2 linked regions of the Lepisosteus oculatus genome follow. The protein of the gene in region 1 binds, or shares a complex with, the protein of each later gene. Links are inferred from orthologs where the notes say so. Each region holds a gene or a part of one and is shown on either strand. Other genes may lie near its edges. The genes, in order: tsen34 and tsen15.

Region 1 (11,423 bases):
TAAGCACTACTGTTCTAATGCACATAAATGGCTCTTGCGGGTGAGCCGTTACTGGGACATCCTTAAAAGGACTGTGGTGCTTTTGCTTGGTGCAGATGTTCCAGTGTGGTCTAAGCTGGAATCAGGCCATCTCCCATCGATGCAGCAGCTCGTCCAGATCCTGGAGAACGAGATGAAGCTGAACGCCCGCATGGATTCACTGCCACATCACCGGTCATAGCCTGGTCTGCTAACGGCGAAGAGCCCTCCTGTAGGTTTCTGGTCTGTGACATCGTGAGATGTTTTTCATTGATTGTAGAGATGAAAGAGGTTCTAACTTGTGTGTCTAGAGCAGGAGTTGTCCCATTCTGATCCTGGAGGGCCGGTGTGTCTGCAGGTTTGCTTAGGTCTGTTTATAGGAGCTGCATCTCAAGAGCTGGGAAAGGCTGTTAAACATTGTCTTATTAAGCCTGTTACAAGCTAATTTGTGCCATTATTAAGAGCTGAGTTGGAATGAGAGCCTGCGAACACACTGGCCTTCAAGGACCAGGGTTATATATACGTCTGGCCCACTGTTAAAGATATCCAAATTTTTTGTGCACATTTCAGAATACACTTATTGAAAGATGATTTATATATTCCTGCATCTGTATGGAATCTCGCCCCTCATTCTGTGCGATTTGGCAAGAACGGTCAATGCTGGAAAAGAGTTCTGAATGTAGACTAACTCCAGAAGAAATGTTTAACGCTTTGCCCTGTGTTCCAGGTTTTAAATGGCTCTCTCCACGGGCAGTGAGCTGATGTCTATGAAGGACTGCATTGAAGGCAGATTTCTGCAAGTGCAGGCTGGAAGCTCTTATCAGTCTTGCTGAACCTCTGGGAGTGCTCCTTTGAAACGGGTGACCTTGAGCATTGGGGATGTTCATTTTTATTGCAGCACGTTCATCAGGGTGCAATAAAATGTATAGTTTCAATTTTTTATTCACTAATTTGAGCCTTTGTATAGCTAAATGTTAACGTACGTTTGTTGTATTTTGTATTTCGCAGTTCAAAAAAATGTCAGATAAACATCCAAATGACATTTTTAAGTTGATTTCTGATTGGTTGTAATTTTTATATTTCTTTTTATAGCATAAAGTGGAATTAAAATTATAATAAAGTGGATTATGTCTAACAGGGAAAAAAAAGTTTGATTGTTGAGCATCTCTGCTACTCAAGTGGGATTTTTGAAGGGGTGTGCAATTAACTTAACGGTGTTTCAAGAAGGATCGCTGCATTGAGACTGTTATCTGTTCACTGTTGCATCGAGACTGTTGTCTTTTTATGTCCACTGCTTGCCAATCAACTAATTGGTCATTTTGGAAGTTCAGACTTGTGAGGATTTCATGTGACATTTGTAAACAGAAGTGTAACAGAATAATGCAGTTAGTGATTTACCAAGTACCTTTTATGAAATACTTTAAATGTTAGATTATGGTACACAAAACAGATAATTTTATGGTTACCACTTTATCACTTTGGCATTTATAAAACAACTATTTGAAAGGTATTAATAGACTGATATGTATTAGATGATAACCAGTCTCTGCTGTACAAGATGTTAGCAACAAATCCCAAATTCTGAATTGTTCTCCTAACCTAGGGTGTGCACTAATTTTTCTTAATGGTTCATGACAGAAATTAATCGTGTTAATATATTCCTTACAGAGAGTTATAAATGGGATCGAGAATAAAGTGTAAGCAATCCTGTTTGCTTTTCTTTGGATGGATTTGGATGGCTGTCTGTTTTTCCCTGCATATAAATGACAGGAATCGTCGTTTGGTGATGAACTGTTTGCTTTTATTGTATTTCTTCCTATCAAAACATTTAATCACATTGATGTCATTTACAATTCTTGGTAAGTTCTGCTAAATAAGCAGAAATGATTTGATGTTTTTTTTCCCCTGTGACAAAAGTTTAAAAGGGTTTCACAGAATTTGCATGGCTGTTGTTGGCACAGGCAAAGCAAATGCAGATCTGTAGGTGATGAGAATATTGTAGGGTCTGCGGGACAGTTTTTATACAGAACAAATGTCACCAGGCAACAGAATTGTTAAGGTGACTTCTTTTTTATTGTAGGACTCATTACTGATTAACTTTTCTGGACTGAACCTCTTCAGTTCTCCAGCTCTCTCCATGATACATTAACCTATGCTCTTGGCAGCTGTCTTTGATCCTGAATGGTGTAGAGATGTACAGTGTTTAATGTTTATAAGCCAAACATCAGCAGAGAACTTTAATGCACAACATTTGTCTCTCTTCATACATTCTTTACACACCTGGTGTGGGCTGGAGTATTTCTTAGAGCCGTTACTGATCAGGATACAGCAGTGACACGGACCAACATGAGGTGTCCTGGCCGACTCGGGTACATTCCACACCTGCCCGAGCCGAGAGCCCTTAGTTTAAGGACACCTGCTTTTTCCAGACTGTTTTTTCTCCTGCCCCAGAATTTGGGATCCTATAAAATTAGCTGTTTAAAAATGGTAAAAAAAAAAAACAACCCGACAAATTTGGAATGTAAGTCTGAAAGACATACCTGTAAAACTATATTTGATCTTCACTCCATTTCCAGTTATATTCTTATAAAAGGAGACCTTGGGTGCAAACTGGGCATTGCAGCTGCATTTAAACTTCCCATTCACCTCCGGAGTGAGAAGTCCAGGGAATTCTTGCCTTAGCCAGATCTGGGAACGTGCCAGCTTGCGCCACAAGACGGGGGACTGAAATTTCCCTAGCGCTGTGCCCAAGAGCAGGACTGTTACCCGTGTGTCCTAGATACACACTGACTCGGGCATCCCTGACGTTTCCCCTTAACTCAACTGGAGAACTGATGCCTCACTTCAGTACTGGATGAATCCCATATATAGAGAGTGTACTGTAATGAAAAGTGCTTTTTAAGTACAAGCCAATAAAGTTGCTGTTCCATGCCTCAGCTTTACAAAAGCACCCCAGTGCCTACTGCCCAATGCATGGACCTAAAAACAAGAACTCTTAAAAATCTACTTCATCCTCTCCTCATGGCTGGATGATGGTTCTGTATTAAACTACAGCAAGGAGGGATTTTCCTCCCTTTTAAACCGTAGTCTGCTTGCGTCTGACACTAAAGCAGTTTTATTGGTCTAAATAATGCTGACAGAATCAAGACGCATGTCATCGTGACATGCGAGGAAAAGTGAAATCTTTCACAGGTCTTAACCCATGGTGCTGAAAATCCTTAAGTAACTGAAATACAAAGACACCAGGGAAGCACAAAATACAGCAGTTTTAAACAGAGCCAATATTTCAGCTTGATGCCTAAATATGAACCGATTATTGTAAGAGAGCAAAAACAACATGGTTTTCCTGGAAGCAACACAGAAAAGGCGTGTACCCTCAAGTACACATTGCGCATGACCAGTTGTGATAGCTTATCTAGCCTTGTTTGAACAAGGAGAGAAACGGAAGATCTACCTGTGTATTTTGTGATAACAATTTCCCCCCTTTCATCACATCATTGCAGCAAAGTGTGGAGAGCAGTCCGAGAACCTGTGAGTTATACAACTCCAAAACGGGAGAAAACCGGACTAAATAACTTCATCGGGCTTGTCATTCAGAGGGGATCTCACAGTGAAACGGACGGATTTTCCTCTGAATAATCAGAGAGATGTGCTAACAAATCTTGGCCGTCTTGCCTGATGCTGTTTCACGAGCATTGAAACGACCTCTGGAGAACCGAGACCCGTGTCACTTTGTGCACAGCGATGACTGCAGCGATCACGGTCTGGTGAATCCCGCCGGGAACCAGCGCTGTTAGGAATGTCAGTTGTGTACGCCGTGTTGCACGCGACTTTGGGGATCTTGATTCCGGTTCCGAATATAGTTGTGATTATTGTGGCGTACAAGCTGATCAAGGCTAAGCGTGCGAAGGGCTACGTCTTCATCATCAACCTGGCCGTGGCGGACCTGCTGGTAGGGCTCATGTGCGTGGTGGAGACCCTGGACGATCTGTACGACGGCGACTTCGACAAGAATCTGACCTTCTGTCTGCTGAGGATCTGCTTCACCATCAGTCCCTGCGTGGGCTCTGTGCTGACTCTGCTGCTCATTTCTCTCGACCGGTGGCTGGCTGTGACCCGTCCGCTCCACTACCACAAAACCGTGACCAACAGGACTGTGTCGGCGGCCCTCGCTGCTCTCTGGGGTCTCTCTTTCTCCGTGGGCAACCTGCCGCTAATTGCTCCGCAGCTGCAGCAGACTAACTATACGGGCGTCTGTGGCCTTTTATACTCGACGAAGAATCAGTATCTGTACATCATTTGCTTCGTGGTCTTTATGCCCGTGTTCCTCACTTTGATCTGCGCCCAGATATTACTGGGCCGGACCGCTCACCTGCAGCGCCAGCGGATCCGGCAGGTCTCCGTCGGCCCGGCGCCCCCGCGGTCTGCGGACCTGAGACACTTCAAGGCGCTGCGCACGGTCCTCGTAGTCATCGTCTGCTTCTCCGTGTCCTGGGGGCCCTACTACATGGCCGGGCTGGTGCAGGCCTCCTGCGCCCGGTGCCACCTGAAGGCCCTGCTGAGGGACGAGCTCTTCCTGCTGGGAGAACTCAACTCGCTCCTCAACCCCCTCATCTACGCCTTCTGCAGCAACGACATCAAGTCCCGCGTGTGTCAAGCTGGCTGGTGGAAGAAGATATCGCGGGCTCGTGCACTGCAGCTCCGCCACAATAAAAACTGACAATGGTTTGGGGACCGTTGTAAGACATCCCTGTGTCTGCTAAATACAATTCCCTAACGGTTTTAAGTGTTTTCCAACTATATATATATATGTGTGTGTGCCTATTACCTTATATATTGTATATATTACTTATATACCTTATTCGTTAGGAATGCTGTGTCTTGCAACGTTTAAACTATTATTTCGAATATCGAGGATAGAGGTTGTCGTATTGAGGAATTTCAAGCTTTTTGTTATAAAGCACAACCTTTGAACTGTGATTGTTTAATGGACGTCGCGTTTTTACACATGCACTAGTGATAGCAATAAGACATCACAGCTTGTCCACGCAGACAGAAGAAACTGGACTCGTTTTCATACTACCGAGACAGAAACAATCGCACACGTCCAGGCTGCTGTTACAGACACTAGGTGGTGCTACAGGGTTTTCCTTTACCGATGAAGATATTTCTTATAAAACAATAGGACAGTCTCCAAAATACGTATTGAAGTATTTTAGGCGTGTTGTTTAACCCCTGTGACAGTATGGATTAAAAACAAGAAATAATGTTCTCTCTCGATCTGTAATCAATTCATTATTTTACAACAAAAACCTTGCCAAAGACCTACACTACGGTATTTTGGAGGCTAATAAAGATGGAAACGTCATTGTTTTTATTGTTAATTCTTAATACACATTTACTTAAAATATTGTTACTGCATTAGGTTCACTTATTAACTGTATGTATTGATTTCCTCAGCTCCGTAGTACCTCATGTAAGGAATTTAAAGCGTAACTTATTTTCCCAGTCAAAACTAAAAAATAATTCACTCCTGTTTAAACTGCGGTGCCGTGTGTGGCGACGACGAGAACCCCACAATAAAATTGCTTCTGCACGGCGTTTTTCTTAAAAAGCTTGCAAACGGATTGTCTGAAATGCGCCCCAAGAATCACCGTACCGCAGAGCGCTTCAAGTTTCAAATAACATTTCAGCAAGGTAAACGAAATAAGATTTCTCCAGTGTCTTGAATAAAGAGTCGCAGTGAGAACACAGTAAAACAGTTTCCTGCTACTTGAATGACCTAAACTCGGTCTGACACCTCCAAAGAAGGCTCCACAACCGAAACGTTTTCCTTTCCTAGAATAAACCTTTACCTGTTCCTTAAAGATACAACTTACCTCTTTATTAAGAAAACATTAAGAAAAGAGTTGATCAGACCCAGCCGAGGAGGCCGCCATGTTGACTGACGTCACCGCGTCCATGGGAACCGCCCCCAGGTCGCCGGAAACGCCCGAGCCCTTCCGGAGACGACCGAAGGCTGCCATATTAGAGTTGAAATGGGATCGAGTCGTGTTCCTCCGACCGGGTGAGCAAAACCAGTTAGAGGTTTCGTGCTCTCGCCGTTAAATAGAGATAACAGCTAGGGTTTTGCATTAGAGCTTATGTTCCACTTCTGCTTAAGCAGCTTAACCTCAGTTTGAGATCCAGTATTTCTAGGGAAAGCGTAATGTGCACGTGGAGAGCTGTCTGTTTAGATAGATGCTCCGGATTGCAAGTTATTTACACTCAAATACAACGCGTGCGTTAAATTAAGAACTGTCCAAGTTGAATATTGCATAACAAAGTAACAAGTACTAGACACCACAGTACAGCAGGGTTATTTTATTAAATATTCTGATTAAGATTATAATATCAACGTGTCTCTTCAAGATTTCCATTGCACTGTCGGACTCGAGCGAGGAAGGGTTGCAGATTTGCAGACTGAGTTTCAAGTCCGAAGGCACATAGCAGGGAAAACCCGCTGCTTGATGAGTTATGCACGCTCCGTGAAGGCTGCTGGTCGGAGATAAACGGAGCTAGGAAACGGGAGAAAAAGTTTCAGAGGAACAGATGAAATAATATAGCTGTGTACCCCATGGCCGCACACCCAGGAGAGACGGGGTTTGAAAGTGAGCCAGAGACTAGGGGGGACGGGAGATGCAAACAGCCAGCCGAACCCGGGTCCGAAGAGGAGAGGCTTCCGGTTGAGCCCGGTTTGGAGACGGGAACTGCGGCAGCCCAGGTCTATCTCTGCGGCTCCACTCCTCTGCTGTGGAGGGCAGCCGACGTCCGGGGGGCCCGGGAGCGGGCGGGGGTGGTGGGCACGCTCATCGGATCCCTGGCCCGCCAGCCCCGCCAGAACCTCCGCTTGGGCCGGCCGGCCCAGCTGCTGCCGGAGGAGGCCCGCCTGCTGAGGGACACAGGCCGCGCCGTGCTGGTCACCGCAGCTCCGCCGGAGGTGAGCGCCGTCCTGGGTTTTCCTGCCTCCGTTTCCCGACACCCCGCGGTGAGAGGCTCTGGCTGTGTCAGCTTGATAGGTGACCAAGTGACGGGGAAGATCTGGTTTAATTCATCTTGGCTCTTCTAGCACGAGAAGAATGTTTATATAATGATTTATAGCCAGTTTGTACATGGGGTACACTGATATATAAACTGGCTGTAAATTAACTCCCAGCTGGCAGTCCACTGGAGCCCAGCAGGTGTGAGCCTGGTCAGTACCTGGATGGGAGACCTCCTGGGAAAGCTGAGGCTGCTGCTGGAAGAGGTGTTAGTGGGACCAGCAGGGGGCGCTCACCCTGCAGTCTGTGTGGGTCCTAATGCCCCTCGTCCTTCGGATGAGACGTAAAGCCGAGGTCCTGACTCTCTGTGGTCTTTAAAAATCCCAGGGAGTTTCTTGAAAAGAGTAGGGGTGTAACCCCAGTGTCCTGGCCAAATTTTCACCTGGCCTTTACCAGTCATTGGCCTCTTAATAACTGGCTTCCTCTTAAGAACTGGCTGAACGGGCTTCATCGCTCTGCTCTCCTCCCCACTGAGAGCTGGTGTGTGGGGAGAGGACTGGAGCATCATCCAGGTGGGGCTGCACACTGGTGGTAGTGGAGGGGATCCCCATTACTTGTAAAGCTCTTTGAGTGGAGTGTCCAGAGAAGCGCTACATAAGTCTAAGGATTATTATTAATAACTGGATTTGGCTGCCTCACCCCCTGCCTCTCTTGCTATTGAAGTCTTTGTCTGTATTGACTTTGTCTGAAATAAGTGAAAGTCTGTGACCTTGTTCAGAATAGTTCCTCATGCGAGTGCCCCCCGAGTCTCCAGATGGGGGTCCGGAGTTTGAGTTTGAACGTCAGGTAGGAAGTTTTTTTCTTCCAGGCTGAAGATGGCGTGAGGGCAGAGGAGGTGGAGAGATACCGAGAGAGGCTGCAGCACAGCTTCCTGGAGCAGAAGAAGATCGCCCTGGAGGACAGGAAGCAGGTGTTGCAGAGAGTGATGAACCAGAAACAGAAGGGTAAAGGGCTGCAGTGAGGCGTACGCCGAGCGGTTGTACGAAGCTGGGGCTGCCTGGCCGACCTCTCCTGGCAGCCTCCCAGCTCAGAGGGGTTGTTCATGTCACACTCGCTCCGAGATGCCAGTCTGTCTTTCTCCCCCGTCCCAGACTCCTTCGCCTTGCTGTCTGCGGGCAGCTGGGGGGGAACGTCCTTGCCTGTGGAAGGGGTGCCGATCTCCTCCGCCGAACGGGGATAGGCACGCTGAGCCGGTTACGGGAGGGACTGTCCGTCTGAAGCCCAGGCCGTGTTCAGCTCTGCTGGGTGCGCCGGCCCCAGTCTCGCGCCGCTCCTGACCGCGATCGATTCCCGGCGCTCCTCGCGGCTGCCGTGTCGAATTGTGCCGCGGCAGAAAAGGACCCGCGCCTTCGCTGCTGTCCAGGGGGCGGCGCTGTGCGGCCGAGCGGGCGTGGTCGAGTGCCAGCAGGGGCAGCAGCTGAGCTCCGCCGACTCCTCGGCCCCCGCGGAGCTCCACGCTGCCCAGACCGCGGCAGGAGCTGGCTTCCCTTCTCTGGCCCGCTCGCTCGGCCCTCTGGGACTCTGACCCTTCTTCCTCTTCCAGACGGGGGCGCCGCCGGCGCGGAGCTGCCACTCAGGGATCGGCTGAGCTCCCTGGAGAGCTCCTTCACGTTCCCCGAGGCGGCGACGGCGGTGCAGCTGTGCACCGCCAGGGCGCGACTCGGGTACGAGCCGGAGGAGCGCCTCCTGATGGCCGCCGACTGGCCCCAGCCGCGCGACGAGAGAACGGAAGCGCGGTATCGGGTGTACCGGGACCTGCGGCGGCGGGGCTACTACGTCACGCCCGCCGGCAAATTTGGAGGAGACTACCTCGTCTATCCAGGTATGTATTCACCGGGAGCCTCCGACTCCGGTCCTGGAGTGACTGATCTCCTAGGGAACTCCCGGAAGTAATCAAATAAGCAAGTAACGTATTCGATGAAGGCAAATGATTCGTTAACGATCTCTAAATTGCTTAATTTAACAAGTGGCTGGTCAGGGCTAGCCTGTGGCAGGCCTGTAGAAGCCGGTGATTTCGCGATGAGCTGTGAAACCCGTTGGGTGGGGGCTCTCCTGGACCGGGGTCGGACCCTCCTGTGCTGCGTCACGCGAGACCGCGCGCACAGAGGGGTGTCCGCGCCTCAGAGTGCCTGTCCGCCTCTCCTCCAGGGGACCCCCTGCGCTTCCACGCTCACTTCATCGCCGTGTGTCTTCCCCCGGAGGCCGAGACGCCGCTCAGCGACCTCCTGGCTCTGTCCCGGCTGGGCTCCAACGTCAAGAAGACCGTGTTGCTGTGCTCCCCGGGCGAGAGCGGGGGGGTCGTCTACACCTCCCTGCAGTGGAGCGGCATGGTCTAGGCGTGGGGGCGGCGGTGAGGAGGAGGGGGCTCCTGTGGGGTGCGGAGGGACGCCCCGGGGTCCCGCCGATGACGAGGGTGCTGTTGGAAAGTGTGCACAGGCTGGCCTTTCAGATGACCTTCCTCCCTGCCAGCACTGCGCCGTTCCCGTGCCCGTCTCACAGATGTGCCTTTCTGCCTTCGGAGTCGGCTTTCTTCTTTTAACCTGGACGAACCTCAAGCCTGCTTGGACGGAGTTCTGCGCCTTTGCTACTTGCACAGCTGGAGTAATAAAAATCCAGTGGTCAGGAGGGGGTATCGTTCTGTATGGATAAAGACAATAAATGACTTTTTTTAAGGGAAATCTCGTTTTTCTTTTGTTTAACATACATGGCATAATCTAGCTTTAGCACGTGAGAACTGTGATTGAGGAATGCAGTTTTAATATTCCACGCAGACAGGATTAGAAGCATCATGTCTGTTGCTTGCAGAGATGGGCTCCTGGGCCCCCCCACAACCCTGATGTGGGTGAAGCAGTTAAGAGAAGAGATGGGTGAAAGTCTGAGAGGAGACGGCTGTGTTTGTCGTGTTTGCACAGCGTGTTCCAGGGTCGTGTGTTACACTCCTATATACGAAGAAAAAAGGACTGGCGCGCCTTTACTTGAACACAGCCCTGTCAGTTCACAGCTGGCGGTAATGGAAGAGTTTCCCGTTGATCGTGCAGCTGCTTTGCCGGGCTGGCGCGAGCTTTTCCCGCGCGGCCTTTGGCGGAGCGGGGTGGCCGGCGAGGTCACAGGCAGTCTTTCACCGAGCCTTCGATGAACGCCCTCTCTCCCTCGTCCAGCGGCAGGGCCCCCGCCGAGCAGACGCTCCACAGCCTCCGGCTGAGCGAGGTCAGGTACGAGGGGGGCTTGGGTCTGGGCGGCTGCCCGTGGGCGGGGAAGCGCAGGCAGCTGTGCAGCTTGTGCAAGGCGGAGTGCAGCTTTATCCTCCCCGCCAGCAGGAGCAGGTCCTCCTTCAGCAGGGCGGGCCTGACGGGGGGAGCGAGTCTGGGCTCCTTTACCTGGGGGAACGACGAGACGGTTACCGGCTGACGGCAGCTGAGAGCCCCTCCCCAACACCGGGGGACGGGTCTGATTCATGCCTTCCAGAACGCGTGCTGCACCTGCAGGACCGTGCCCACGCTGAACCTGGCCTGCTGCCCCAGAGCCAGGAAGGACACGGACATCTTCCTTTGTTCCAGCACGCGGACGCCGACGTGAGGGTTCAGCGACAGGAACAGGGGCTTGAAGGGGGATGGCCGATCGGAGGCAGGGAGCTCGCTCCACCTCCACCTCCGCAGCTTGGCGCCCCTCTCATCCAGGCACAGCCCGCCGAAAAGATCGATGCTCAACCTGCGCCGCACAGGGGGGGAAATGATCATCATGGCGATGCTTTTGCATTTGAGACTCAAATGGATCGTCTTGGGCTGTTTCTGTTCATTGGTGCATGAGCAATGTTGATTCAATCACTGCACTTCAGGGCAAAGAATTGTTACAGAAAAAGAGCTAACCGGAAATTGGAGACGGACCCTACCAAACAACTCCATTCGGGTGATAGCAAGTGGCTTTTCCGTTGGACTGGAATATGGCCCGGATGGCCGCTTCTCCCAGCCTGTCCTCCTGCACCACGCATGCGGATTCATTTTTCTCATTGACAATGACCAGGATTGACAGGTTTCCAGAGGGATAACTAGGATGCTGATGATAAGGAACATGAAACAAGCTATATCGCGTTAAAACAAGGGTAAATCAGCACGAGTGATGGAAAAAATTGAAGAGATGCTTATCCCAAGTGCTTGATACATACGCTTATAAAAGCAAACAATGGCAATCTCTGGCACAGGGAGAAATTAAATTGACAAGCAAGGTTAGGACTCTGTCTTTTACCACACCTTTATGCATTTCAGATACTGAAAAGCAGAGTACCAGTAAGTATATTTAAGACAAAGATCACAAAAAGCTTATGAAGGC
Region 2 (10,993 bases), on another chromosome or scaffold:
AAATGATTCATGCAATGAGCTAGAGATAGGAGACACTGTAGATAGGCTTTTATTCCACATTCACAGCATTTCTAAAACTCTATTTCCCAAGCACGGGAACCTCATCACGACCCTGCTCTGCTCATCTCCCATGGCTGGTCTCCGAGCTGGCAGAATTCAGGACCTCATGGGGAAGTGCCACCTCTGAGCGCACATTTCCAGTCACCAGTGTCTGCCTCACGACGAGGGACGGCAGGGAAGCTCTCCCGGGACTCCCAGCTGCTGGAGAATGAGCCGGTCTGGGGATCACCGCTTCGATCCCCTCGTTTTCCCCACTCCCAAGCCACGTCGAGGGAGTGTGGATCCGTCCCAGCGGGATTCAGTGGGAGAGGATAGAGAAGTACCCCCACTCAGGATACTCTTAGTGCAGACCACATTGCAATGGGGAGGTCTGAAATGATCTTGAAAATGAAAATGTGCAACATGCCTTGTGCTTGTGTAACTGGGGCGCCGTCTCCAGCAGCATGGTGTCAATCGGACATCCCGCGGCTTCATCTCATTACTCAAGGCGAACTCCATGACCCTGGGACAAGCCTTCAGAATCCCCACGCCAAAGAACCGGACTGGGGTCTGCGTTTAAAAAGCCTTGATTCAAAATGAATCGCCTTATTCTTTTTTCAAAGTTTAAATCGAAACAGACTCAACTTTCTTAACCTAGTCAATTGCTCCTGCTTGCCCTGAAGATTTTTTCGTCGAAGCTTTCGAATCATGACTTTACTGGAGCGCACGGTAGGCGCTCACGGATGGCGGAGTCTGTGCGGGGAGATCTGGCACCGCCGAGCCCTCAATTATCCGGCGCATCAATAAGGTTCTAATCAGCAAAGTCTTAATAACAGGTGGGATAAGGCCTCTGCTCCCACAGGTGACACGCAGCTCGCTTAACCCAAATCCCCTGTCAAGGTGCGCGCAGGCCGACCCAGCAGCTTGCAAACCCACATGAAAGACCGAGCTGACGAGTCAGCGCTGCGTGTCTTCTCCCGCCCCTTCCTCTCTCTCTCTCTCCCCAGAAACGCAGTAATGATCCCTCTCCTTCTCCCAGATTTGAACATGCACCACTTCAAAAAGCGCACCCTCGGCGGAGCTGTCAGAACGGGTTATAGCCCAGGCGGATGGGGTGCCGGAATTCGCTGCCGACTCAGGCATGACCGACTCGGGCAGAAGGGGATTAAAGTTTTAAAGTCACCACGAACCTTTTCAAAGTCTCTGCTGTACCAGCACGGTACGCAGACGTACTGTACATACACACACTAAACGCACTAACCGGAAGGCTCAGACGTTAGAAGTCTTTTTAAAACTACCGCTTTTAATTTTTTTTTTTTTATCGCGGCATATAGGCGAGGCTTTAAAACCCTGCTTAAAAACGTTTTGCCACTTTACGCGAAAAGCGTGTTTCTCATTGCACGCTTCCCGTAACATACATGACCGAAGGAAGGAAAGAGTGTACAAAGGCAGGTGAGCGGGCTCTTACCAGATAGCGATGCGCTCCTTGGGGTAGTCCAGGCGTTCAATACAGCCCAGGTGGAAGGGCAGGCTGTGCGCGGCGTTCCTGGCCAGGATCGCGATCAGCACTTTGGGCTTGAGCAGCGCGGACTCGGGCCGGGCTGCGCCCTGAACCAGGGTCATCAGCTCCGAGCCCGCTCCCGAGAGGAGAGCGGCGAGGAGGGCGGCGAACACCGCGAGGGACAGGAGCCTGACACGCGGCATGATTCCCCGGAGAGCACCGCTGTCCGCGACGACCTGGGCTCCGGCGTAGCTGCCTCGCCCTGCTCCGCTGCTCGCTCGGAGAGAGAGACTGGCTGAATGAGAAGGACTTTTCCACAGCTCTCTGCTCTGGGGCTGGCGTCTCTTCCCCCCCTCTCCCCCCACCCCCTCGCTCTCTCTGAACTCGGGTATGCGGTAGGACCCCCAGCTGCCTCTTTCAAACAATGTCTTCACAAGAGCAGCGCCCCGCCGACGGACCTCTGCCCCAGCTGTAGCCCCACACTGGGTCCGGCTCGGTGTGTGGAGCGCTTACTGGGTCACCGCGTTAACGCGCGTTCCCATGGAAACCTCCTCTTCTGAATGTGCTACAGGCTGTAGTCGTCTTCTCTCAACTTTTTTCTTTTATCTTTCTGGTCTGGTGTTACGGGTTTAAACGTCATTCCAGTATTATCCCCCTAATCTCGCACTATCTCGCTTCACTGTATTCAGCGAGAAGAAGGGTGGGTGTTTTGACTAGTCTAACGATCCTAATTGTTTTGGCGTGTCCTGCTGTGTCGTCATGGCTGTTTGGCTCCTGTAAACCGGTCCCAGCTGACACAGTATTCCTGAAACTTTTATAAATCGATGTCGACGCCAGATTTGTGTAACGTATTAGAATTACACAAAACGTGTAGAAATACGCACTAGCACAAAAGCGCGACACAAGTCCGAACCTTTTTGCTACTGCGTTAAACAGAGCCCATAGGTGCTGGTCGTTTTAGGTCTGGTCCAGCTCTATCGTCTCAGACAGCTGTAGTCTGTGTAGGTCGCACTGTCCTGTCTCACCAAAGCTCTGGATTGAATGCTCTGGAGCCACCGTGTGTTTGAGTGATGTGTGTGGCTGGGCGCAGGGTCTCAAGACGGGCACGGTTTTAATGGCACCGGTCCCAGGTGCCAGTGGGAGGCTGGGTGCCAGACATTGCCAGATTGCTGCAGCAGTGACTACAATCGCATTTTTCATGTATGAGCGCAACCGATGGCTTTGCCTTGTGTCTCGTTAACAACTTCTCCGTCTATTAAAAAAATCCCATAAAATGCAGTGGGTGAGGATTTTAACTTCACGGCCAATTCGTCCAGCATTCCACTGTATTACCATTTATTTTAGTACTCCACTAATGTAATTCTTCATCTACTTCTTAGACTGCTAGTAAAATTGCTGTATTACTGAAGCATTTTGGATATCGTGTTGTGACAACTGTCAGTGAATACAGCCTGCGAACAAGCTGAGGTCGTGAGAAAACGTTTCAGCTGTGTTGCCTCTCCAGGTGTGTGGGGGTGAGGAAGACTGTGAGGGTTTGAGGATAGAGGAGACCGCAGAAATAACTTTGTGAGGACGGTGAGGGAGAAGATGATATGGAAGCCCGTTTCCGCCAGGGAGGAAAAAAAAAACGCGCTATGCTATCTCAGAATTCCGACTTAGTATCTCAGAATTGCGATTTAGTAACTCAGAATTACAACTTAGTAAGTCAGAATTCCGACTTAGTATCTCAGAATTGCGACTTAGCAACTCAGAATTCTGACTTAGTATCTCAGAATTGCGACTTAGTATCTCAGAATTACGACTTAGCAACTCAGAATTCCGACTTAGTATCTCAGAATTCCGACTTAGTATCTCAGAATTGCGACTTAGTAAGTCAGAATTCTGACTTAGTATCTCAGAATTGCGACTTAGTAAGTCAGAATTCCGACTTAGTATCTCAGAATTGCGACTTAGCAACTCAGAATTCCGACTTTATATCTCACATTTGTGACTTCGAAATAGCCGTATTCCATTGTCTGTCCTTTTGTTATTGTAACGGATTCAGGTTCTAGGGATTGTGCCCTCGCCGCTCCCACCCTAGTTCGTGCCTCGCTGCACTGGCTCGAACCTGAGTCTTGCCAGCTGAGCTAAAGAAGACCTTCTTTTTTAAGTAAAAAAGGACATACAATGGAAATACGTAAAAAGTATGTTTCAGCTTTTATAATTGTGAATTCTTCTGGATGTGAAGTGCCTATTTCTGTATCTTATTTCATATTCTGTCTACGTAAATAAAAACTATTTTAAAAAGCCCACCGTGCACTATTCCATCCGGGTACTATGGAAGCCTCACTGGCGGAAATGGGATTCTATAAAAATTAGTGTAATTAATTTGATTTTTATCAGGGCACTGTACAGGACAAGTCTTCAGGCTTATAGATCCTATGATCCTGTACGATTCATGAAAATAGTGTAACGGAACGGCCGACATACAGGTTGTACGATCTGGTTGCAGTACACCACCCTCCCCTGCGCATAACAGGGATGCTGGGGTTAAAGAAAGTGAGCCAGTGCAGCGAGGCACGAACAAGGGTGGAAGCGGCGAGGGCACAAGCCCTAGAACCCGAATCCGTTACAATAACAAAAGGACAGACAATGAAATACGGCTATTTCGAAGTCACAAATGTGAGATATAAAGTCGGAATTTTGAGTTACTAATTCGGAATTCTGAGTTGCTAAGTCGCAATTCTGAGATACTAAGTCGGAATTCTGAGTTGCTAAGTCGGAATTCTGAGTTGCTAAGTCGCAATTCTGACTTACTAAGTCGCAATTCTGAGATACTAAGTCGGAATTCTGAGTTGCTAAGTCGCAATTCTGAGATACTAAGTCAGAATTCTGACTTACTAAGTCGCAATTCTGAGATACTAAGTCGGAATTCTGAGTTGCTAAGTCGCAATTCTGAGATACTAAGTCGGAATTCTGAGTTGCTAAGTCGCAATTCTGAGATACTAAGTCGGAATTCTGAGTTGCTAAGTCGCAATTCTGAGATACTAAGTCGGAATTCTGAGATACCATAGCGCGTTTTTTTTCTTCCTTCCTGGCGGAAACGGGCTTCCATAAGATGAACAGGGGGCCATAGAGATGGAAATCTGCGAGACAAGATTCCAGAGGAACCGTGATGGGCAACAGTCTCAGCTAAGGGGGAGATTAGAAAGGGATTCGTCGATACCCCCCAGCCTGTTAAATCTGTTACACGTGGGAATTCTATTGAGTCTTCCACTGGAAATCAATTTCGATCAATTTAATATTACAGTACTTGTGCTGTCGGGACTGAGGTTCCACCAAGACACAGAGGGACTCATTTTAACCCCCAACTCACGAACACAGGACAGACTTCCTGCAGTTGAGTTCTTAGAGACCAGCTCAGTGTAGCAGCTACTGTAAGCGGCACAGTCCTGTCTTCTTGCCGAAAAACAACAGGAGCACCGCTGCGATCTGTACACACCCACCGAGCCGTCGTGCAGCGAAGCGCGGCTGCTGTATCAAGCGCCTTGGAAAATGAATCCCCACAGCTCGGTTTGAGTGACAGCGCCTCACCCACTGGGGCTCACACAACTGTTCCCCCCGCAGAGGAAAAACACACTTCGACTGTGGGTGAAGAGGGAAAACCCAAACTGATTCGTCAGTCTCTCCCACACCCTCTCGCTCTTGCTCTGCTTCCATCGCCCCCCTCTTTGGATGAGCAGTTCAAAGCGTGAGGACACGACCGATGACCTCACTTCACAGCTGCATAGCACCCAGGTGGCTCTAAACACTGTAATAGAGATTGTCCAGTCATTCATTCCTTTGATTACATATTTAACCGGCAATGTTATAATCGGCATAGCTCAGCATGGTCTAATAATGTAGCAGTGTGTGTATACTTGGCAGAGCAGAGTGTGGTGTTTTGTGGCGCGGTCTGTTCGTGTGAGGATGGGTGTGAGTATGCTGTGTCGAATTAATCCGGAGGCAGCACACCAGAAGACCGGCTGTCGAGATGCTACGAAAGCAGACAACTACATGGACGATGGTACTACTTCAAACTGGGCTTTGTCCCCCTCTGGTGGAGAAATCTGGAACTCTCAAGCCTCACTCACTACACATAGCGCTGAACTGACTACAAGAACCAAAAAGCACTGCGAGCAGACTGGGAACGTATACTGTAAAGGGAAAATTTTCCAAATGTATACATTGGGCTTGTATTTTATTATTAGTTGTCAAAATGGAATCATAATTGTCACAACTTGTTTCGAATTGCACTATCATTTTATTCATTCTCTGTCTGCCCTAAACCCCAGACCTAGTTTCTAGTGACTGACAGGCAAACGGGCACACTTTGTAAGTTTTTTGGTTACTCGTCCAGAGTTTATTTTCTGTGATTATTGTGGTAGCGGATTGAATTGAAAATGGGATTAAATATGGCCACACGAATCGCTTGCTTTAAACGATGCAGGGCTCGGGTATTAAAGGAACGTTTAAGGCGGAACCTAAAGTCTGTGCATGGAGTTTCTTGTCGGACGGAGATGTAGTCGGGCGCGCAGTGTTAGTAAGGAACATGTGGTTTTAGATACGGATAATTGTGAGTAAGAGCCGTCGGTCGCTCTGTCACAGCGATGCAGCTCTGATTGGTGGTCAGCGGGAGAGATGGACGTGGAGGTGACCGTGACCTCGGAAGAGGGGTGTGCTGTGGGTGAGCCCGAGTCTGAGGAGAGCCCCAGGGGAGCGGAGAGACAGCGAGACCTGCCCGCTAACTGGATACTGCAGCACCCCAAGGTACCAATTCAGCCGAAAGCCGAATTCATAACACTCGCTTTACAGTTGCTCTGCAGTAGACCTGCAGTATAATTACACACGGAAAAGGGAAGAGAAGAAATGATTCACTTGGTGAGGGGTGTAGAACAGTTCTTTTCGAGAGCTTTCTAGGTATTTATACACTCAAATAGCTGCTTTCTGCTGCTGTAGGAGCGAGTAGTGTCCACCCTGTAGTAGTGCGAATCTTCTAGCCTGATCTGCTCAGAGCTCAGAAGCTAGGCAGGCTGAGTCTGATCTGGTCTGTACTGGGGTGCGAGACCTCCAAGGAGGAAACGGCTGCTGGTGTTGGTGGACCAGTAGGGGGTGCTCTTCCCTGTGGACCAGAATGCAAGCCAAAGCACCCTTGTGGGGAAACGGCAATAGGTGGAGCCATCCTGCAGATGAGATACTAGACTGAATTGCGTGGTCTGTGATGATCCCTCGGCACTGTTTATAATAATAACAATTGCTTAATATAGTGCTTTTCTGGGCACTCCACTCAAAACACTTTACAGGTAATGGGGACTCCCCTCCACCACCACCAATGTGCAGCCCCACCTGGATGATGCAAAGGCAGCCATAGTGCGCCAGAACGCTCACCACACACCAGCTATCAGTAGGGAGGAGAACAGAGTAATGAAGCCAATTCATAGATGGGGATTATTAGGGGGCCATAATTGATGAGGGCACATGGGAAATTTAGCCAGAATGCTCGGGGTTACACCCCTACTCTTTTCAAGAAACGCCCTGGGATTTTTAATGACCACAGAGAGTCAGGACCTCGGTTTTATATCTCACCCAAAAAACAGCGCCTTTTTACAGTATAGTGTCCCCGTCACTATACTGGGGCATTAGGACCCTCATAGACCGCAGGGTGAGTGGCCCCCTGCTGGCCCCACTAACACCTCCTCCAGGAGCAGCCTTAGGTCTCCCATCCAGGTACTGACAGAGCTTCAGTGGGCTGCCGGCTGTGAGTTGCAGTGTGATGTGGCTGCTGGCAAATTTCTCCTGCTCCACACCCACACCTGTGTGAAGTGTGCTGTGCTCTGCTCTGACGGTGACCCTGTCTCAGTACCAGGAGCTGATGAGCCTCGAGCTGGGGGACTCAGCCCAGGTGTATGCTGCCTTCCTGGCCTACGTGGACCTCACTGAAGGTGGGTGTGTGTTGGTGTCTGTGCGCGCTCTTGCAGTGGCTGCTGGATTGTGCCTGTGCTCGCGGTGCGACAGGGACTTTAAACTGCTCTGCGTGTGGGGTGCCTGTCTCTTGTCCCCTGTGCAGTGCGGCAGTGGCAGGATGTGTCCTGCAGGGGGAGCTCCGAGCTTCAGCTGGTGCTCCTGGAGGGGCGGGAGAGAGAAGGCCAGCCCACGCAGCTTGTCGTACCGGTTCCGGCCCAGAGGTCCATCAGTCACAGCTGGTAAGAAAGTGCCAGGTCAGAGGTCAGAGGTCAGAGGTCAGGGGGCGGGGTTTGGCAGGAGAGTCTGGAGGGGGGGGGGGGCTTCTTGCCTCACCAGTCACAGCTAGTGAAACTTGACTCAGTATCTGGACTGGCTTCAGGAGGGAGGAGGAGTGAAAAAATGGAGAAAAGCAGGGCAGATTTCACCCCGTAGCCCAGACCTGTTTGGCTCAGGCCTGGCAGGTCTCATTAGCTGCTCAGAGGCTCAAACCACACACTGCCACCCTAGTGTGCATTTAAACCAGGGTGACGCTGTCATTGGAAACAAAATCACCTTCACCTCCTGAAACTGGGATCCTGGAGCAAAGTCAGTGGTACAGAGGAAAGGCTTTGATTTTAGCCGCTGGATTGAGAAAACGGCGAGAAAACTTTCGGCTCCATTGCATCATATTCCTTAAATTGCTGCCAGGCCCCCTAGGAGATGAGAGTGAGCCACGAGGTGCGCAGTGAGAAAAGAAGGACGGGCACCGTTCTGAAACGCGATGAGAGGCCGGCCGAGCCAGGGCAGTGACTGGAGAAACAGTGTCGCTGTCGCCCTGTTTCAGATGAAAAGCCAATCAGCTGTACAGTCAGTAACGAAGTGACGGTGCCGCTAATTGACTTAATGCACTGAAGCTAAAAGCCTCACCTCTAAGTAAAATAATTCTGTGAAAGGCACAGTTGGTTCTCTCTGCTGGGCTGTATCTCCATCAGCAGTGCACAGATGGCACAGCACCTCCTAAGTCCTGTTTTCAGAGACTCAGTGTCCCTGTTATATAACCAACACAGTACACGACTCTACCTGCCCTCTAGTCTGCTCCTGTACACAAGTTCCACATCTTTGAGCTTGCCAGCTCAGCCACGCCTGCAGTGTTTCAATCATGCAGGCATGACCGCCCTGCACAGCGGTCGGGTTTTCTAGACCACTGGGAGCTGGAACTGGATCGAGCCTGTGGCACCATCGCGTCTGCAGGGGAATCTGACCGCGCGGCTGTCGCATGTTCGCGAATGGGTCCCTCTTATCTCCTTGCGCGAGGGGCGATTGTTAGCTGGAAGGCGTGAGCACACACACATGTGTGTATATATATATAAAAGAGACCCCGGGAAGCCTGCGGACGCAGACACAGAGACGGAAGCTCTGTTCTGGGACAGCCCTTCGCCAGGCGGGCCCGTGATCTGCTCACCTGCTTCCTCGCGCAGTGCCTGGAGGAAGACTCCCTGCCTCTTGGGAAGCCCGGGCCGTTTCTGAACCGGCAGCGCTGCGGTTGCAGTGGTGTCTCCTGGCCCCGAGACTCACAGGCTCCCTCTTCCCCTTCCTGTGCCTCCGTTTCTCTCCTGTCTCCCAGGATCCAGACGCTGCTGGGCTCCCCGGGCCCTGGGGGGGCCTCCCCAGCCTCCATGCTGCTCTGCGCTGTGGCCCCTGACTCCAGCCTGGTCTACCACCGGCTGACCGCTGGCCTGCTGACCCCCAGCCCCCCTGAGGACATCGCGGACCAGGATCACCGGCAGCACCGCAAGAGGCGCCTGCGCTGAGGTCGCGGGGTAAATGGCGTGGCACACAGGGCTCATGGCCAATGCTACAAGCCACCTGAGGGCATTTCCAGGTCACCACTGCACATAGGAGGTCCTGATACTCCAGTGGCCGGGTACCATTGAGGGGAGCGGACCCCGATTCTCAGGAAGCGATACCAAGGGCACAAAGCTTCTGGACACTGCAGACCAATCAGTTGTGTGGAGCCTGCTCTCTGCAGTGAAGAAGCCAGAGCTGTGAGAATCCGGACAGAGACTGATCACTGATCTGGAGGGAGGAAAACAGTGGAGAAGCAAGTCCCTGACACTTGCTGGGCAACTGGGCACCAACACACTGGCACCCTGTTTAACCTACACCACGTCCCCTTGACATTCAGATCCCCACTGTTCTGTACTGCTTCTACACTGGATCTGCTCAGAAGCGCTGTACAAATCAAGGAACTCACGAATCATAAATATTTTTTTAAAAGGCAGTGCCATTTTCTCCGTTTGTGAGCACCCCACCACAGACAGATGATGTAGTGTTAGAGTAACAGCCAGGAAAGTTTGTTTCTTTATGGGCTGGGGCTTGGCAGCTGCCCCTCTGCATTCCGCTCACCTCTGGAGTATGAGCTCACTAGCGCACGTTTTCCACAGGCCCAGGCCTCAGACTAGCCAGTGCGCCGTTCCCCTACTACCCACCAGGGGGCGGGAGAGCGCTTCTTTTGGTTCACAGTTGCTGGCGTTCAGGGCCTCAGGGCCCTGAGGTTTGAGCTCCAGCCCAAGCCCTAAATTAACATTGTTGATTTGCTTAACTAGGCCTATTAAGCATGATTTTGGCAAGGTTTCGTTTTGGGCTGATGCTTTAAATGAGGCGTTTAGTTTACAATATAGTAGCTGGAAACCCTTGAGGCTTGAGGGGAAAAAAAGTGCTACATGTTCCCAGTTAGTCAAAGACGTTGTTCCGTGAAGTAATGGAGCGTTTGGCTGGAGAGCAGTGGCTGACTGAAGGATGGTAAAGTCCCAGTAAACTCCTGTGGTCCTGCCCCGGGGTGTTGATATTGAGTATGAGGAATGTTTGAGCTGTTTTCTTCAGTTACTTTTCAGTAGGAGCATGCAAACTTTTATGCTGCAAGTCAGTCGGGTCAAGGAGCAGCACCTGAGATCAAGCTGAAAAGGCGCCGGCACCTTTCCTTCAAGCTTTAAAAGACAGTGCAGTACAGGGATTGGGACAGCAAGAGTCTACTGTTGTAGACATACTTATTAGCCTCTGGATCTGATCTGAAACTGTTATTTACACATTCATTAAGTAAAAATAGTGTGTCAAATTATAGAGTTGAGAAGGATACAATTGCTTATAGAGGATGTAAAGTTTGCAGACATTATTATTTGCACTCTGGATCTTAAAGGAGTTAATTTAGCAGAACATCCAAGCCCGTAACTTTCAAGGATGAACGGCTGAGAATGATCAGGATTATTTTAAGGGGTGAGGCTGCCAATAATTTAAATAACCAGCACATTAACAATGATTAATGACTAAGATTGTTGGGCGATAGAGATGGCGTGTTCTGGCCTGAGCTCAGCGCTAATGTAACAGATTTGGGGTGTGGAAAGATAACAGTGGAGGTTTTTGCTCATTTCTATCAGCACTTCGACGCATTGGAGAGGAGACATACAAGAGCAAATCGTACACCATTCTTTCCGT

Evidence for each region.
Region 2: the proteins of tsen34 (region 1) and tsen15 are in contact, whole or in part, in a crystal structure (PDB 6Z9U), measured with the Homo sapiens proteins. The link is inferred for Lepisosteus oculatus from reciprocal best matches to the Homo sapiens genes TSEN34 and TSEN15. Residues at the interface, in NP_001070914.1 of Homo sapiens: Pro251, Leu252, Arg253, Phe254, His255, Ala256, His257, Tyr258, Pro265, Glu266, Asp267, Thr268, Ile269, Pro270, Leu271, Gln272, Leu274, Ser283, Val284, Arg285, Lys286, Thr287, Leu289, Leu290, Cys291, Ser292, Gln294, Val300, Tyr301, Thr302; in NP_443197.1 of Homo sapiens: Leu70, Lys74, Trp76, Thr108, Pro109, Ile110, Thr111, Ala112, Ser113, Leu114, Ser115, His116, Asn117, Ile119, Arg120, Leu123, Leu141, Ile143, Val151, Tyr152, Tyr153, Lys154, Leu155, Thr156, Asp157, Gly158, Phe159, Met160, Leu161, Pro162.

What each region holds. Positions count from the first base shown.
Region 1 is NC_090708.1:2,593,085-2,604,507, forward strand, and holds tsen34 (tRNA-splicing endonuclease subunit Sen34), read left to right. Parts: upstream 1-6,634; coding exon 6,635-6,997; exon of another isoform or gene 6,998-7,905; coding exon 7,906-8,041; exon of another isoform or gene 8,042-8,640; coding exon 8,641-8,919; exon of another isoform or gene 8,920-9,245; coding exon 9,246-9,433; 3' UTR 9,434-9,775; downstream 9,776-11,423. Other genes in the region: gpr119b (glucose-dependent insulinotropic receptor), read left to right, coding at 3,818-4,738; glutamate-rich protein 6, read right to left, coding at 10,202-10,474, 10,577-10,805, 10,987-11,142. UniProt on the Homo sapiens protein: Constitutes one of the two catalytic subunit of the tRNA-splicing endonuclease complex, a complex responsible for identification and cleavage of the splice sites in pre-tRNA. It cleaves pre-tRNA at the 5'- and 3'-splice sites to release the intron.
Region 2 is NC_090704.1:31,147,462-31,158,454, reverse strand, and holds tsen15 (tRNA-splicing endonuclease subunit Sen15), read left to right. Parts: upstream 1-6,064; 5' UTR 6,065-6,199; coding exon 6,200-6,328; intron 6,329-7,418; coding exon 7,419-7,500; intron 7,501-7,625; coding exon 7,626-7,761; intron 7,762-9,125; coding exon 9,126-9,312; 3' UTR 9,313-9,782; downstream 9,783-10,993. Other genes in the region: colgalt2b (procollagen galactosyltransferase 2), read right to left, coding at 1,508-1,743. UniProt on the Homo sapiens protein: Non-catalytic subunit of the tRNA-splicing endonuclease complex, a complex responsible for identification and cleavage of the splice sites in pre-tRNA. It cleaves pre-tRNA at the 5' and 3' splice sites to release the intron.